Linked DNA regions of Mus musculus. The protein of the gene in region 2 binds, or shares a complex with, the protein of the main gene of each other region. Links are inferred from orthologs where the notes say so. Each region holds a gene or a part of one and is shown on either strand. Other genes may lie near its edges.

Evidence for each region.
Region 1: Timm50 (region 2) and Timm23 share a complex: the UniProt entries of both Homo sapiens proteins name them as parts of the TIM23 complex. The link is inferred for Mus musculus from reciprocal best matches to the Homo sapiens genes TIMM50 and TIMM23.
Region 3: Timm50 (region 2) and Timm17b share a complex: the UniProt entries of both Homo sapiens proteins name them as parts of the TIM23 complex. The link is inferred for Mus musculus from reciprocal best matches to the Homo sapiens genes TIMM50 and TIMM17B.

Annotation. Positions count from the first base shown.
Region 1 is NC_000080.6:32,198,925-32,203,630, reverse strand, and holds the start of Timm23 (mitochondrial import inner membrane translocase subunit Tim23), read left to right. Parts: upstream 1-1,739; 5' UTR 1,740-1,882; coding exon 1,883-1,988; intron 1,989-4,603; coding exon 4,604-4,662; intron 4,663-4,706. Other genes in the region: Parg (poly(ADP-ribose) glycohydrolase), read right to left, coding at 1,166-1,385. UniProt on the Homo sapiens protein: Essential component of the TIM23 complex, a complex that mediates the translocation of transit peptide-containing proteins across the mitochondrial inner membrane.
Region 2 is NC_000073.6:28,308,761-28,313,322, forward strand, and holds the start of Timm50 (mitochondrial import inner membrane translocase subunit TIM50 precursor), read right to left. Parts: upstream 3,287-4,562; 5' UTR 3,273-3,286; coding exon 3,165-3,272; exon of another isoform or gene 3,059-3,164; coding exon of another isoform or gene 2,894-3,058; intron 2,389-2,893; exon of another isoform or gene 2,330-2,388; intron 2,260-2,329; coding exon 2,109-2,259; intron 2,001-2,108; exon of another isoform or gene 1,568-2,000; coding exon 1,536-1,567; exon of another isoform or gene 1,341-1,535; coding exon 1,319-1,340; exon of another isoform or gene 1,080-1,318; intron 1-1,079. UniProt on the Homo sapiens protein: Essential component of the TIM23 complex, a complex that mediates the translocation of transit peptide-containing proteins across the mitochondrial inner membrane. Has some phosphatase activity in vitro; however such activity may not be relevant in vivo.
Region 3 is NC_000086.7:7,897,669-7,902,302, reverse strand, and holds the start of Timm17b (mitochondrial import inner membrane translocase subunit Tim17-B), read right to left. Parts: upstream 2,968-4,634; 5' UTR 2,860-2,967; coding exon 2,834-2,859; intron 2,627-2,833; exon of another isoform or gene 2,538-2,626; intron 1,343-2,537; coding exon 1,243-1,342; intron 1-1,242. Other genes in the region: Pqbp1 (polyglutamine-binding protein 1), read left to right, coding at 3,061-3,134, 3,667-3,752. UniProt on the Homo sapiens protein: Essential component of the TIM23 complex, a complex that mediates the translocation of transit peptide-containing proteins across the mitochondrial inner membrane.

The DNA.
Region 1 (4,706 bases), on a different chromosome or scaffold from region 2:
TCTCTCAGGCCTCTCCTAAAAGGCAGGTGTTCCTAAAGGCTCTATCCTTGGCTGCTTTACTGTCAATACTAACCATTGTATGCTAAACCACACTTACAGAGTCCATTATACTTTAACACCAAGAACTCCATTTCTCAAGCATAGGTGTATTTCTTCTGAGCTACAAAAGGACAGGACACGGCATTCCCTCCAGTACGCATCCACTTCTGTTCACTGCTGCCTGCAGCAGGGTCTAAGTGTAAAGCATCCCCCATCTAGACCAACTCCTTTAGTCCTGAGATTTCAACCAGGTTTTCTTTTCCATTTTCCATACACCAAACATATACAGACAGTTCAAGAAAACAAGACTAACCAAGTCCTTGCCTTACCCCGCCCCTTCACACAACTGAACACTCTTTAATAGCCTCTCACTGCCCTGAAAATGTAAAATTCAAGATCCTTAGTACTGTCCACACTTACTCAGCAGAGTAGGATCACTGTCCTAATTCTCTGCAGCCCATCTCTCACCATTCCACCGTTGATTCTGCGCACCCACTGCATATCTGAAGTACCTCTTTACTTTCTTCTCCAGTACTCACAGTAAGTACCAAACCTTCTGGACTACCATAACTAACTTAAGTATACTTAATTCCTACCAAAACAATGGCTCCTTCATGAACAACAACATCCATTACTCTCTGTTACAGGTATTTGACTTGTGCTATTGTTTCTCTCTCCTCACAGATTTCAAGGTACGAAAGAAGAGACCAAGTTCCTCGTGTTCAACATCGTGTGCCAGGGACAAATACAATCCAGCAAGCTAAGGCTAACAGCTCTGCACTCTGGAAGTCAGCTCTCACTGAGTCTACTGCAACAACTTTCTTTACGATTTTTGGAGACTGAAGCGCCCTTCTGCTTCACATACACAACTAGACTTCCTTAACAGGGCAAATTCTCTATCCAAGCTGAGGAAAGTATCCCGGGGAGGTCCGGTAACTACCTGTCCAACAAAGTTTTCCACAACACACATGCCACTAGTAAAACTGTAGCGCCTCTCATTGGAGTGGCATCTAGTGATTGAACATCGGGGTCATCAGAGTGGTGGAAACAAGATCAGTTAGGAGTGACTGGAGTCTCCTGGTCCTCACACTGAAACAAGGACAAAGATTTTTTTTTTCCCACGTACCAAACGAGGTGGCGTTGCCTCTGTGCGGTCCCGCCCGCCCCGAGACGCAGGCTGGCGAGGACGGAGGGACCCTGAACTGGACGGGAGCGTCCTTGGGGTCGAGAACACGCCTCTGCCTGCCAGGGAAGCTCCGGGAGTCCGAGGCAGTCGGCGCAGAAGTTCCAGCGGCGCCCCAGCGGGGCCGCTTCGTGCAGGGCTCCCAGCCGGGGCCCGCACTCATGCTGGGACCCGCAGCACACAGTCCCCGGGCCGGCCCGGGCGGAGAGCCTCATTCACTAACCCGGACAGGGACGGACTGCGCCTCCTTCTCGGCGCGCCGCGCACCATTCCCTCTCCGCAGCGGCCCGCCTGGAGGCTGCCACTCCTCGGGCCTTCGAGCGAGACCCTCGCTGCGCAGCCGCTTGCCTCCGCTCGGCAGCAGGGAGCCCACCAGCCCCGGGACGCGCCGCTTCCACTCGGCTCGAGATCGGGCTCCGGCTCCAGGCTCACTTTCCCACCACCGGAAAGCAGCCGTCTCGCGCTTCCCACTTCCGGGCCGCACACAGCCGTAAAGCGGAAGTGCGATACTTCACGGGAGCCGGCGCCCGGAAGGTCAGCGTGGTGAAGGTGGCAGGAGCAACGCGGGTCTTCCCGCTGTTGCTTGTCGCGGCCACGGCCGAGCATACGTCCCCGGCCTGAGGTGGTGGTGGCGAGCCCACCGCCGTTTGCTGCGACCTCATGGAAGGTGGCGGAGGAAGTAGCAACAAATCCACCAGCGGGTTAGCTGGCTTCTTCGGAGCCGGAGGAGCGGGTTACTCGAACGCTGATTTGGCCGGCGTCCCGCGTGAGTATCGGGCCTCGCCTGCTCCCCTTTCTGACTCCTTCCTGGGACAGCTAGAAATGTGTAACGTTCCTGTCCCTTTTCCTGCTCGCCTTTACGAGATTCACCGCCGGTGATTGGGTTTCAAGGCTGAACGAATTTGGGGGATCGTAAATCCCCGGGAAGCTCTTTTAGTGACCTAGTTTCGAGAGGAAACACAAAATGTCCTCCTCTTTAGTGCCCCGTCCCGTCTTTTCTCGTCACACGCTTTTCTGTATGCTTGGCCCTGTTAGGAGACCCTAGTTCTAGAAATAAACATTCCAAATAACAAGCGCGCTATTAATTTTTTTTCACACGGCTTTTAAATATTTCTAAACCAGTTAGGCGAAAACATTTTTCGTTCTTTGTGCGTGTGAGAGACAATTCAGGAAATCAGAAGGAGCTGGGGAAGCAAACGAAACTTTTAAGAGATTTTTAAACAAGAAAAAAGAGCCAAATTCTGAAAGCGATATAAGCAAATTCAAAGATGCAGAGGCATGAATTCCCAGCCTGTTGGCCCTTCTCAATCACCTAAGTATGTCTTTCAGGCTTTTAATGTTTTGTAATTATGGATATTCGACTGGATAAGTAGAGCTTGGGAGTTAATGTTTAATAACACTTTACTAAAGTGTTTCTTCTTGCTAATCCTCTAAGTAAAACCTTTACACTTAAAAACATTCAGAAAGCCGTTTGATAACCCTAATGTCTGCTGTCAAAACTTGAGTCCAGGACACAATTTATGTGTATCTTAGGATATCTCAGTTGCATAACATGAAGGGCACTACTTAAGGTGAGAGAGTACACATACTACTGAGGAGAGTAACGTGAGGACACAGAAGTTAGTGATAGATGACATGGCAATTGAAATAGGACCCTGAGATGGTGGTGGTGGTGATGGGCCGTGAAGGTTGTTGGAGAACAGGTTAGAGAAAACAGCTTGGGAGTTGAAGTTAGAGCTGTGACCTGAATTTAGCAACAAGTGCTTGAGAGACAGAACAAACCTGCTGTGTTTCTTGAGAAGCTATTGGGTCAGTTTGTCTTTAGAGTTGCAAGGGAATGAACTGATACAAGATTGATTGTAAGAGTTGAGAGGCAAGCCGGGCGTGGTGGCACACGCCTTTAATCCCAGCACTCGAGAGGCAGAGGCAGGCGGATTTCTGAGTTCGAGGCCAGCCTGGCCTACAAAGTGAGCTCCAGAACAGCCAGGGCTACACAGAGAAACCCTGTCTCGAAAAACCAAAAAAAAAAAAGAGTTGAGAGGCAGGAAACAGCAACAAATACAAGCTTTTATAAGCAAGGAAGGGGGGATTAGATTTGATCTAATTGTAGATGAAAGCCATTAGGGCTGATTTCATAATTTCTACAGAGAAAGTGTGTTGAAGGGATAAGAGAAAGTAAGAAATGGTTGGTATGAGATGGGATGCTTGTGTAACAATTGGAAGTCTGAAATAACAGGACTTAAAATTGATCAATAGGCTGGGCGTGGTGGCGCACGCCTTTAATCCCAGCACTTGGGAGGCAGAGGCAGGCGGATTTCTAAGTTCAAGGACAGCCAGGGCTACACAGAGAAACCCTGTCTCGAAAAACCAAAAAAAAAAAAAAAAAAAAAAAAAAGAATTGATCAATAGAATCATGCTTAGTGCATACATTTGTGAGCAATCAACCAAGATACAAAAGGACCCCAAATAGTATATTTAAAATCTATGAACATTAATTTTTCTTGCTAGATTATTTTTTGTTTTCAAAGTTGGTAGATTTAAAGTTAACCTGAAAGTCTGTATTTTCTGTTCCATTAAGCTTCATCTCTGGGTGAAAGCAGAGAGTCTCCTTGCCGTAATAAAGAGATTCTGTTAGCAAGATTGTTAGAAATGTGATGTGGACGATCTGCTTTGATAGACTTTTCTACAATCAAAAACCTAGGACTAGAGAGATGGCTCAGTGGTTAAGAGCACTAACTGCTCTTCCGGAGGTCCTGAGTTCAATTCCCAGCAACCACATGGTGGCTCACAACCATCTGATGCCCTCTTCTGGTGTGTCTGAAGACAGCTATAGTGTACTCACATGCATAAAAAAAATAAATAAATCTTTAAACAAACAAACTAACTAACCCAACTACTATTTTCCCTGAGAGACTGCTTATACTTGGCTGTTATGCTAGTTAAGGAAACTGCTTATACATACATACATACATACATACATACATACATACAAACATAGGTGGGGAGGAGTGGGTATGGGCACTTTGTGCCAAGCCTGGTGTCCTGTGTCCAATCCCTAGAACCAAACTGGTAGGTGGAAGGGACTCCAGTGAGCCCTCCACATGCACACTAGCACACACACAAACTAAAGGAAATGTGTGAATGTGAAAAGGAAGGGTAAACATAAACCAAAACAGGAATAACACTAAGCTAATTTTTCTAGGAGTTTTATGATTTGATATTAGTGCCAATATCTTATGAAAATGTAGGGCATGGGGCAAGGCCTAATTCCCAAAGAAAATTTACATTCATTGAGTTTCACAGTGTGTAACCGTTAGCTGAGTCCTATATGAAATCTTTGTGTGGATTTTGTTGCGATGTGACATTCTGTTTTCTCTCTAGTGACTGGTATGAACCCCCTGTCTCCTTATTTAAATGTGGATCCACGCTATCTCGTTCAGGTAAGATAAAGCTTTTACTAGTTTAAAGGTGTGCACCACCACAA
Region 2 (4,562 bases):
AGCTGTCTGGGGGCAGCCAGGATTATATAATGAGTTTGAAGTCAAAGTAGGCAATTTTGTAAGATCTTGTCTCAAAGGGGATGGGGTGGGGATGGCTGCACCAGCAGGCAGGAGAGATGGCACCCATGTCAAGAGGATGACAAACACCTGTTACTGTAGCTGCAAGGGACCCAAAGCTCTTATCTAGCCTTTGAAGGCATCTGCATCCATGGGTCAGCACACACGCACCTCATTTTAAAATGAGACAGCAGTGAGGACGCAGAGCCCTTGCCCAGCACCCATCCTCCAACCCCAGCAGCCACTGTCCTAATAAAAACCATCAGTGTTAGAGCCAAGGGTGAAAACTCTGGGTTAAATGAACACAGGAAAATCAATGGAAATATTTCAATATGTTATTCTTACTCTAGCTCTATCTGTGAGCCTGCCTCTTAAAAGACACAATGTTGAAGCCAGTTTAAACTAGTAGGCACACTTTAACCTCCCATGTCTACCTGCCCAATTTAGGTAATTTGTTTAAACCAGTGGAGAGCAGGGCATGGTGGTGTAGGCCTTTAATTCCAGCAATTGGGAGAAGAGACAAGTGGATCTCTGTGGGTTTGAGATTAGCCTGGTCTACACAGTGAGCTCCAGGACAGCCAGGGCTACATAGAGAGACCCTGTCTCAAAAACAAATAAATAAGAAAAAAAAAAGATAAAACAAGGGGGTTGGCCTCTCCAGTTAAAAGAACAGACTTACCCATCTGCCTAGCATGAACAGAGCGGTCAGTGCTTGTACATGCTGTCTGCAGACCTCCCACACAAACAGGGGCCTTTCGGACCCACAAACGTCACCTTCTCTAAGAAAAGGTCCGGTAAAAACCACAACTATTCCACTATCGAATTTATTGGAAGTCCCTTAACAAACTCTGGTAGTCGGGGTGTGTGGAGAAGCAGGGCAGAGACACAGACACAGACACAGAGAGACACTGTTTTGGAAATGAGGCATGGGTTGGAGTAGGGACTTGGGGATTTAAAAAAAAAAAAAAGGTGTTATAAAAGAGTGGGGTCAGGGGCTGCAGATGCCAAATCTAAGGCACAGAAAGCCCTGTGTCTGGGATGGACTGCTGACGCTCCCTGCCCCCATCTGTCCCTGACCATCTGCTCCAGGGCGGTGGGGCCGCGAAAGGGAGCTTTTGTCACGTCTGTCCCCTGAGCCATCTAACTGCCACACCTCGGATGGAGGAGGGGTTGGTGTATGAGACAGGCCAAGAGCACTCTACAGGAATAAACAGAGCAGCAGAGGTGGGAAGGAAGCCCAGCTCTGTGTTTAATCACTCACCGCTGTCGAATTCATCAGGAATCTGGGGAAAAAAGGAAAGGTTTGAACCGGCAGAGGCAGGAGCCCAGCACATTCAGTCTGCGAGTTCCAGGCTGAGTCCCAGAGAAGAAGGGAGAGGCTCAGTGCAGACTATAGAGAGCCTGACCCAATGGAAGGCAACCTGCCCCGCACCCTCACAGAACCGACCCCTCACACCTCTGCCTCTCACTCTCCTCACCTTGGTACCATTTTCATCCACAGGGTTGTTTCCTGCCAGGGAAGGAGACAAGAGACAAATGAAGAAAACTGGAGCCTTGGAGCAGTGTCTACTGGGTCTGGAGGGGGGAGGAGAGTGAGGGGTGGGGACTCCCCACTCAAAGGGATTATGGCTAGAGGCACAGCTCCTGGATAAAGGGAGGAAGAGGTTAGGGGTCAGGATTCCAAGTGGGCTGGGGCTGAGCTGGACACACAAGGGGAAGGTAGACTTCTGCTGCTGAGATGGACACATAGCTTCAGGCACGGTGACAGGTTATTTCTCCACCAATACGAACCGCAGTCCCTTGTCCCAGGACTGAAACCAAGCACACTGGTCTAGCCCTACTCTTCCCACCATTCCCTTAGTTCCTGAATTCAGGTACAGGGAACAACTAGAGGATAGAACTTTTAAGTACAAGGGGTCGAAGAGGACTTCTTGAATTTCAAGGTGAGTATCCTAGTTGGAGGAGCCAGGTAATGAACTGAGTATGGGGAAAGAAAGGGGGGGTTCACAGTAGAAATCTGGGGGCCAACAGTCAAGGGTTATGTCTCTCACCAAAAATATAGACGATGCTGACAGTCCCACCAGCTCCGAGCAAACCGGCGATCCAGAGCGCAATTTTTTTGGCATAGCTGGGACCCTCGGAGCCTGGCTGGTGCTGTGGCCCCTGGGCCTTGGAGCCCCCACGGTTGGCAATTTCAGTGACCTGAGTGGAGGGGGATGGAGGAGAGGTCACACAGAGAGAAATAACAGAATACTTAAATTTGTCCAAGCAGCCTCAAGATCAAGAACCAGGAAGTGGACATCCAGAGCAGAAAACTGTGTCCCTGAAGGGGTGAGTTCAGAGGCTGCTCCCCTCAGACAGTCACAACTAAACTGTCTAGAGAATCACAGGGGTTCAAGAGCTGAAAGGGCAAATTGCTCAAGGTCTTGGAAGCAATAGCACTGCAGGGTCTGGAGCCAGGAAGAGTAGGGCAAGGAGAATAAGGGATGGGTGTGTGTGTGTGTGTGTGTGTGTGCGCGCGCGCGCTAGCACAGAGATGTCAAAACTAAAGGGACAGAGGGCACCCAAGGGACAGAACGAACAGTTAAGATATCCGGATACCCAGAGCCCAAGATGGAGGGGTTTGGAAGGGAAGGAAGCAAGAGCGAGGAGAGGCAATCTCCTGTCTGGGACTTTGGGAACGGAAAGTCATGGACTTGGAGGTCAGAATGGCTAGGCTGGAACGGACGGCAGGCTGGATCCTTCCTGTTCCTCTCGCTCAAGGAGGCGATTGAAATGTCACTGGGACAGACCCTGGGTCCCTAGCGCCCTGGGCCCCACCCCCGTCAAGTATCACCTGAATGGTCACCGAGATCAGAACAGGTGACCTCTCCCGGCACCCACGTGGTTGAGACCTGGGCTCCAGGGGATGCACTCCGGGCCTCCATAATCCAGCCCCGGGGGAGCAACTGTGGTCCACACAGGAAGCATGGAAACATCGAAAACGCGGGCTCCGTCCCATTCAGCACCCTGAGGTGCGGTCTCCCAGACCCGCCGGGGTTGCCACCAGACGCCCAAAACTTTAGAGAGAAGCCCCATATCGGGGCGCGCGTCCCGGCGCCGCTCACCTGCTCGGGAGTGCGGGGAGGTGGCGGCGCTAGCCGCGTGCACAGCCCCCGCGCGCCTACCCGGAGCCCGCTCCGCAAGCGCGAGAACAGAGCCGCCGAGGCCGCCATCTTGCGCTGACGCCACGCGGCCCCGCCCACTCGCTCCCTCTCTCCCGCCCAGGCGAGGACTACGACCAATGGGATCGCTGAGGTAGTGCGTGTGGACAGGAACCCGAGAGGGACAAAAAGAACTGGGCGGAGTACCTTTGGTGCGCTCCTAGTCGGTCTTTCCTCTGGCTGAGCGCGAAATTGGAATACTGTCATCTGGCACCACGCCCCCTGGGGCCCTAAGGACCGCCACCATCCAGTCGCTCGGACTTTGCCTTTCACCTCCCATCGTTAGAAATGGACAGAGGCCCAAAAAGTGAGCTGACCCAGCATCCCTCAGTTTTTCTCACGTGGACCAGGAGGCTGAACCAGTCTTCTTTCCCGTCTCCAGATCTCTTTTTACCCCTAACGCCGTGAGTTTGTAGAAAGGACTGGAGTATCTTTCCTTTGCCCAACCACTCATTTGGATCTACCACTCATCTGGATTCAACCAAAGGAACGTTCCGTGCTGACTTGTTTAGGCTTTAGAGTGATTAAGAAAGCAGTGAATTAGGGGTGCGGGAGCCACCATGAGTCTTGCCCAAGTTGTTTTCTATTTGTTTGTTTATTCATTCCTTTATTTGTTTAATCATTTATTATTCACTCGTTCATTCACTCATTTTAAATGTATGAGTGCACTGTCTGCAGGTACAATTGCATGCCAGAAGAGGGGATCATATCTCTTTATAGATTGAACTCAGACCCTCTGGAAGAACAGCCAGTACTCTTAACCGCTGAGCCATCTCTCCAGCCCCCACAAGTTGTTTTCAATGGGAAAAAAAAAGTCAGATTTTTACACTTAAACTTTAAAAATCCAAAGTACTGCAGGGCATTGGTGGCACATGCCTTTACTCCCAGCACTGGGGAGGCAGAGGCAGGCAGATTTCTGAGTTCGAGGCCAGCCTGGTCTACAGAGTGAGCTCCAGGACAGCCAGGGCTACACAGAGAAACCCTGTCTCCAAAAAAAGACACCCACCCACCCACCCAAAAAAATCCAAAGCACTAAGATAGTAAAACTACAAAGTTGGGCAAAGGAAAGCCACACAGAATTCAGAGCTGTTATTTCTGGAGTGGAATGAAATGGATTGGGGTGCTGCTTAAGTGTGCTCAGTCAGCCTCATGCCACAGGGCGTGGTCAGAAGACAACTTTCAAGAGTCGGCTCTCAGCTTCCACCGAGAGTCCAAGGAATCAAAGTTGAGTCATTTGAACTAGGCTGTTTTCCTCACATTAACTTGGGTGAAAATGCCCGTGGTCAAAACACTGCCTTGACA
Region 3 (4,634 bases), on a different chromosome or scaffold from region 2:
CAAAAATGAGAACTATGGACAAAGGTGCAGGAAGGAGAGTTCTAGGAGCTGAGGACGACTCCGAGCAAGACAGAAAGGCTACAGAACCAGGTATGCTGCCAGATGCCTGGAATGCTAGTACTTGGAAAGCCGGGACAGGAGGATTTGAAGTTGTGTGCCAACCTGTGCTGCGGAAAACGGTTTGTGTGTGTCTGTGTGGAATATACACATGACCGTGCAGGTGTGTGAACATGTGGAAGTCAGAGTATCTCACTGAACCAACTTCTAGCTAGGCTGACTGGCCAGCAAGCTCTAGGGATATATATGCCTGTCTTGTGTTCCATCACCTCCACCACTGTTAGAGGCATAGTAAGCATGCCTCATGCTTGCTACCAAATCCAATGAGCCTTCTATCTTCAAGGGGTGGGGCTCAAAGGAAAGGTATTATATTACTCTCTCCTTCAACTTAAAGGTTCTTTCTGCCAGGCAGTGGTGACGTACGCCTTTAATCCCAGCACTTGGGAGGTAGAGGCTGGCAGATTTCTGAGTTTGAGGCCGGCAGCCTGGTCTACAGGGTGAGTTCCAGGACAACCAGGGCTATACAGAGAAACCCTGTCTCAAAAAATCCAAAAAAAAAAAAAAAAAAAAAAAAAAGAAAAAGAAAAAGAAAAAAAAAAGGTTCTTTCTGCCCAACTCCTGTCATTTTCCTGTATAGAGGATTTTTTGAGGGGGGGTGGGGGAGACAGGGTTTTTCTGTGTAGCCCTGGTTGTCCCAAAATTCACTCTGTAGACCAGATCTGGCCTCAACTCACAGATCTGACTGCCTTTACCTCCCAAGGGCTGGGATTAAAGGTGTGTGGCACCACCATCCATATAGAATTTTATCCCAAAGACTGTCTTGTGGTAAAATCTACGGTGTATACACATTGAAAATTTGATGCTAACCCTTTTCTTTTTATTCTAATTCTAAGGATGGAACTGTGGGCACCCCACACACACATACACACCCACCCACTTGCTTAAATCAACTGTTCTACCACTGAGCTAAATACTTCTAGCCCCTAAGACTGTTTCTGACAGTACAGTATTTCCAGAGTTCTAGCTGGATAGTTGAAGAACAGAATCCCTCAAACCCTAAATCCAGAAGCCAGGCCCAACACACAGTAGGTGAACAATCAACAGAATGTTCAGTATGCTCAGAGCAGTACTCCTATGTCAGCAAGACCGCAGATTCCCACACCACTGGAGGAAGGCCCAACTCACAACAGGGGCATTGCGGAAGCCCTTGATAGCCTGGAAGACTCCACCACCAATGACACCCATGGTGAAAGCTCCACCGCAATCATCCACAATTCGCCATGGGCTGCAAGCAGGAAGGAAAAGATTGGGTTAATGTGAGACCCTGCCCTGCTTGGAGAACCAAACAGGGAAGCTCAGGACTGATGCAGAACACCTTAGATGACAACAAATTAGTTCTGACACTTTTTATATTCCCCAGAAAGCCAGAAAGGAAAACCAGATGTGTTTCTGCACACCTGTGATCAACACTTGGAAGGCTGAGACAGGAGGATCACAAGTTGGCAGTCCAACTTGGGCTCTAAATGGAGACCCTGTCCCACAAAGAAAGTTTGTGCCTTTTAATACCAGCACTCTGAGGTCAGAGGTCAGCCTAGTCTAGTCAGTTCGAGGCCAGCCAGGGTTCTATAGTGAGATACTGTCTCAAAACAAACAAACCCCAAAAGAAAAGGTTTGTAAATCTATCTGTGGTACAAAAGTGAGAAAACAATTTGGGATGGGGGAGGTGTCTCACCACATAGCCTTGCAACGATGGGTTTACTACTGGCAGAGCAGTGCTCTTGATTACAAGCAAGCGTCAATACAACTGTTTTTGTCATTATCAAAAATCAAATGGCTTTGGAATCTAGGTCCCCTGTCCCCCACAATCTGTCTCTTGCTTAAATCAACTACTCTACCACTGAGCCCCTATGACTGTTTCTGACAATACAGTATTCTCAGAGAGTTCTACGTGAAACTAGATTTGAAGAACAGAGTCCCTCAAATCCTAGAACCAGGAGCCAAAAACAAAATGGTTTTTGTTACTATCAAAAATCAGTAAGAGTTGTCATGTGCCTGGCAGGGGTGGTTCACGCCTTTAATCCCAGAACTTGGGGGGCAGAGGCAGGAGGATTTCTTAGTTCAAGACTACAGAGTGAGTTCCAGGACAGCCAGGGCTACACCACAGAGTAACCGTGTCTGGGAGGGGGGGGGGGGAGTTGTCGTGTCAGGCTTCAATAGTGTTAACTAGCAAACGTTATTTAAGTAAAATATAAACAGGGTGACTGACACTCGGTTCGACACAAAAAGCACGTCCAGAGAAACCCTTGTGTCCTTTTAAAACCTAAATCGGACAAATCAAAAGACCGTGCGGAAAAGCCAGGTGCCATCTGGCTTAGCCCACAGTGAGTTCACACATGCCCTATCCTATGTCAAAAGCCAGCCTGAGAAAAGCGACACGAAGAAACCCTGTGGATATTGGCTCCACGCCTCTCCTCCCTCACCGCCGGAATGGATCTGCCCAGCGTTTCTCTTTTGGCTCACAAAGGGGGTCTAGGAGAAGAGCCAGGGCAACAGTGCGATAGTTTGTCCCACACCGCACATACTGGGACACTCCACGGTGGCGGTTTTTTGACGAAGTCCGAGTGGGAGGGGCCATGCCGGATGCGCAGAGGCAGTGAAGTTTCCGAGCCTCCCGGGTCAGGGACTTGACACTGCAGCCCCTGCCTTCCCCGCCCGCCTCCCGTTGTCCGCCTGAGCGTCGCGCGGACTGTCCCGAAGCCTGTGCCCATCGCCGTACCAAGGTTCGCGAGCGTACTCCTCCATGGCGCCAGAGTCCGGCCTGGCGCAGTCGGTGGCGCGGGCGAGACACTCCCCCCGTCCCCCTCCCGCTCCGAAACGCCCACAAGCTCTGAGGCGCTGTACGTAGACCAAGGGAACAATTGGTTCTTCTCTGCTTACGTAAGGCCAACGGCGCGCTCTTATTGGCTAGCCAGAAGGGCCACATCCGTTCCATGTAAGCGTCGGATGCGACCAGTTAATTGCACCTGGGGAGAGTCGAGGAGCCTGTTGTGCTTTAAACCAAGAGCCCTTCGGTGTTGGTAAGCACTGTGCCAATGAGGGAGAGGAGGGTAAGGAGATAGACTTTGACTAATCGCACAGTTGTACTGGTAAGGCTGGGGTGTAAGCTTTCTTTTAAAGCTGGAGATGGCGTTGGCATTGTATCTCCCCCATCCTAGCGCCTTGGTTCCGCCCACCGTGCGGACTTTGAGGAACGTTGGGTGATCCCATTTCTGGGTTGCGGGTGTGTGGCACTTGGTCCCTTGGGTGATGGGTGGAGCCTTGGTCTAGAGAGGAACTGGGTCTTTGGTCCATCCGGTCTCCAGTGCCTGGGTCCGGAGAGTTCTGCTGATCCTAATTCTGGCCATATTGCTACATATCTCTTTTATCTTTTAGCACGCATTTTTGTTCTCTTCCAGCTACTGTTGCAGTTACGTAGGTGTGTGTGTGTGTGTGTGTGTGTGTGTGTGTGTGTGTGTGTGTGTGTGTGTGTGAACACACGCGTGGTTACTGGCTATCCAGATTGAAATGTTAATCAGATCTGCCCTTCAGTACTGTCTTGTCTGTTTCTAGGTCTGGTCAGCTACCCACTATGCCGCTTCCTGTTGCGCTGCAGACCCGCTTGGCGAAGAGGGGCATCCTCAAACATCTGGAGCCGGGTGAGAAAACTAAAAGCAGATGCATCTATCATGTGCCAGTGTTAATAGACGTTCTGCTGTTTATTCTATTCTTTATTCCCCCTTTTCTCCGCCCCCTCCCGCCCCTGTCGAACCTAGGTGTTTGCTAAGTAAGTGCTCTGCCATCTTCTGCCGTCCTAGTGTGCATCTTCCCCCGCCCCCTTGTACTGCTGGGGTTAGACCAGAGCTCTTGGATGCGCTCTATTGAAGTATATCTCCTTGACTGGCACCTTGGTTTTGATACTTGGTATCTTGCATGGCCTGGCAGGCATCTCGTTGTCAATATAATTTTTTCTGATATTCATTACTTCTTCGTGGTTGGTGGGTGCTGTGTGAAGTGTAAGGCTGGAGGGATAGCTTTAATTTAAGTCATGAATCAAGTGGACACGGTGGCAGGTACAAATATCTCAGGTACTAAGGAGGCTGAGCTACAAACATGGCTTGAGTCCAGGAGGTCAAGGCCAGACATGGCAATTTGGCAAGACCCAGTCTTCAAAAAATAAAAAACAAATAGACATAAGTATGGTGGCATTCATCTGTAGTCCCCAGCATGGCTGGGGCAGGTAAAAGGGATCACAGGAGACAGCCTGGTTTACATACTGAATTCTAGGCCAGATATACATGTGTCTGTGTGTGTATGTACACATGTATATATGTGTATATATATGTGTGTGTATCAGAAAATAAGTAAAATAAACCCATGACTGCATGGTATTTAACTAATTAATGTTTGAGACATGGTCTCATTCTGTACTTCTGGCAGGCCTGGGACCCATTCTGTATATCAGGCTGGCTTTGCATTCATCAAGATCTGCCTGTCTCCGCTTTCCTAATGCTAGGATTAAGGGTCCAAAAAGGCATCTG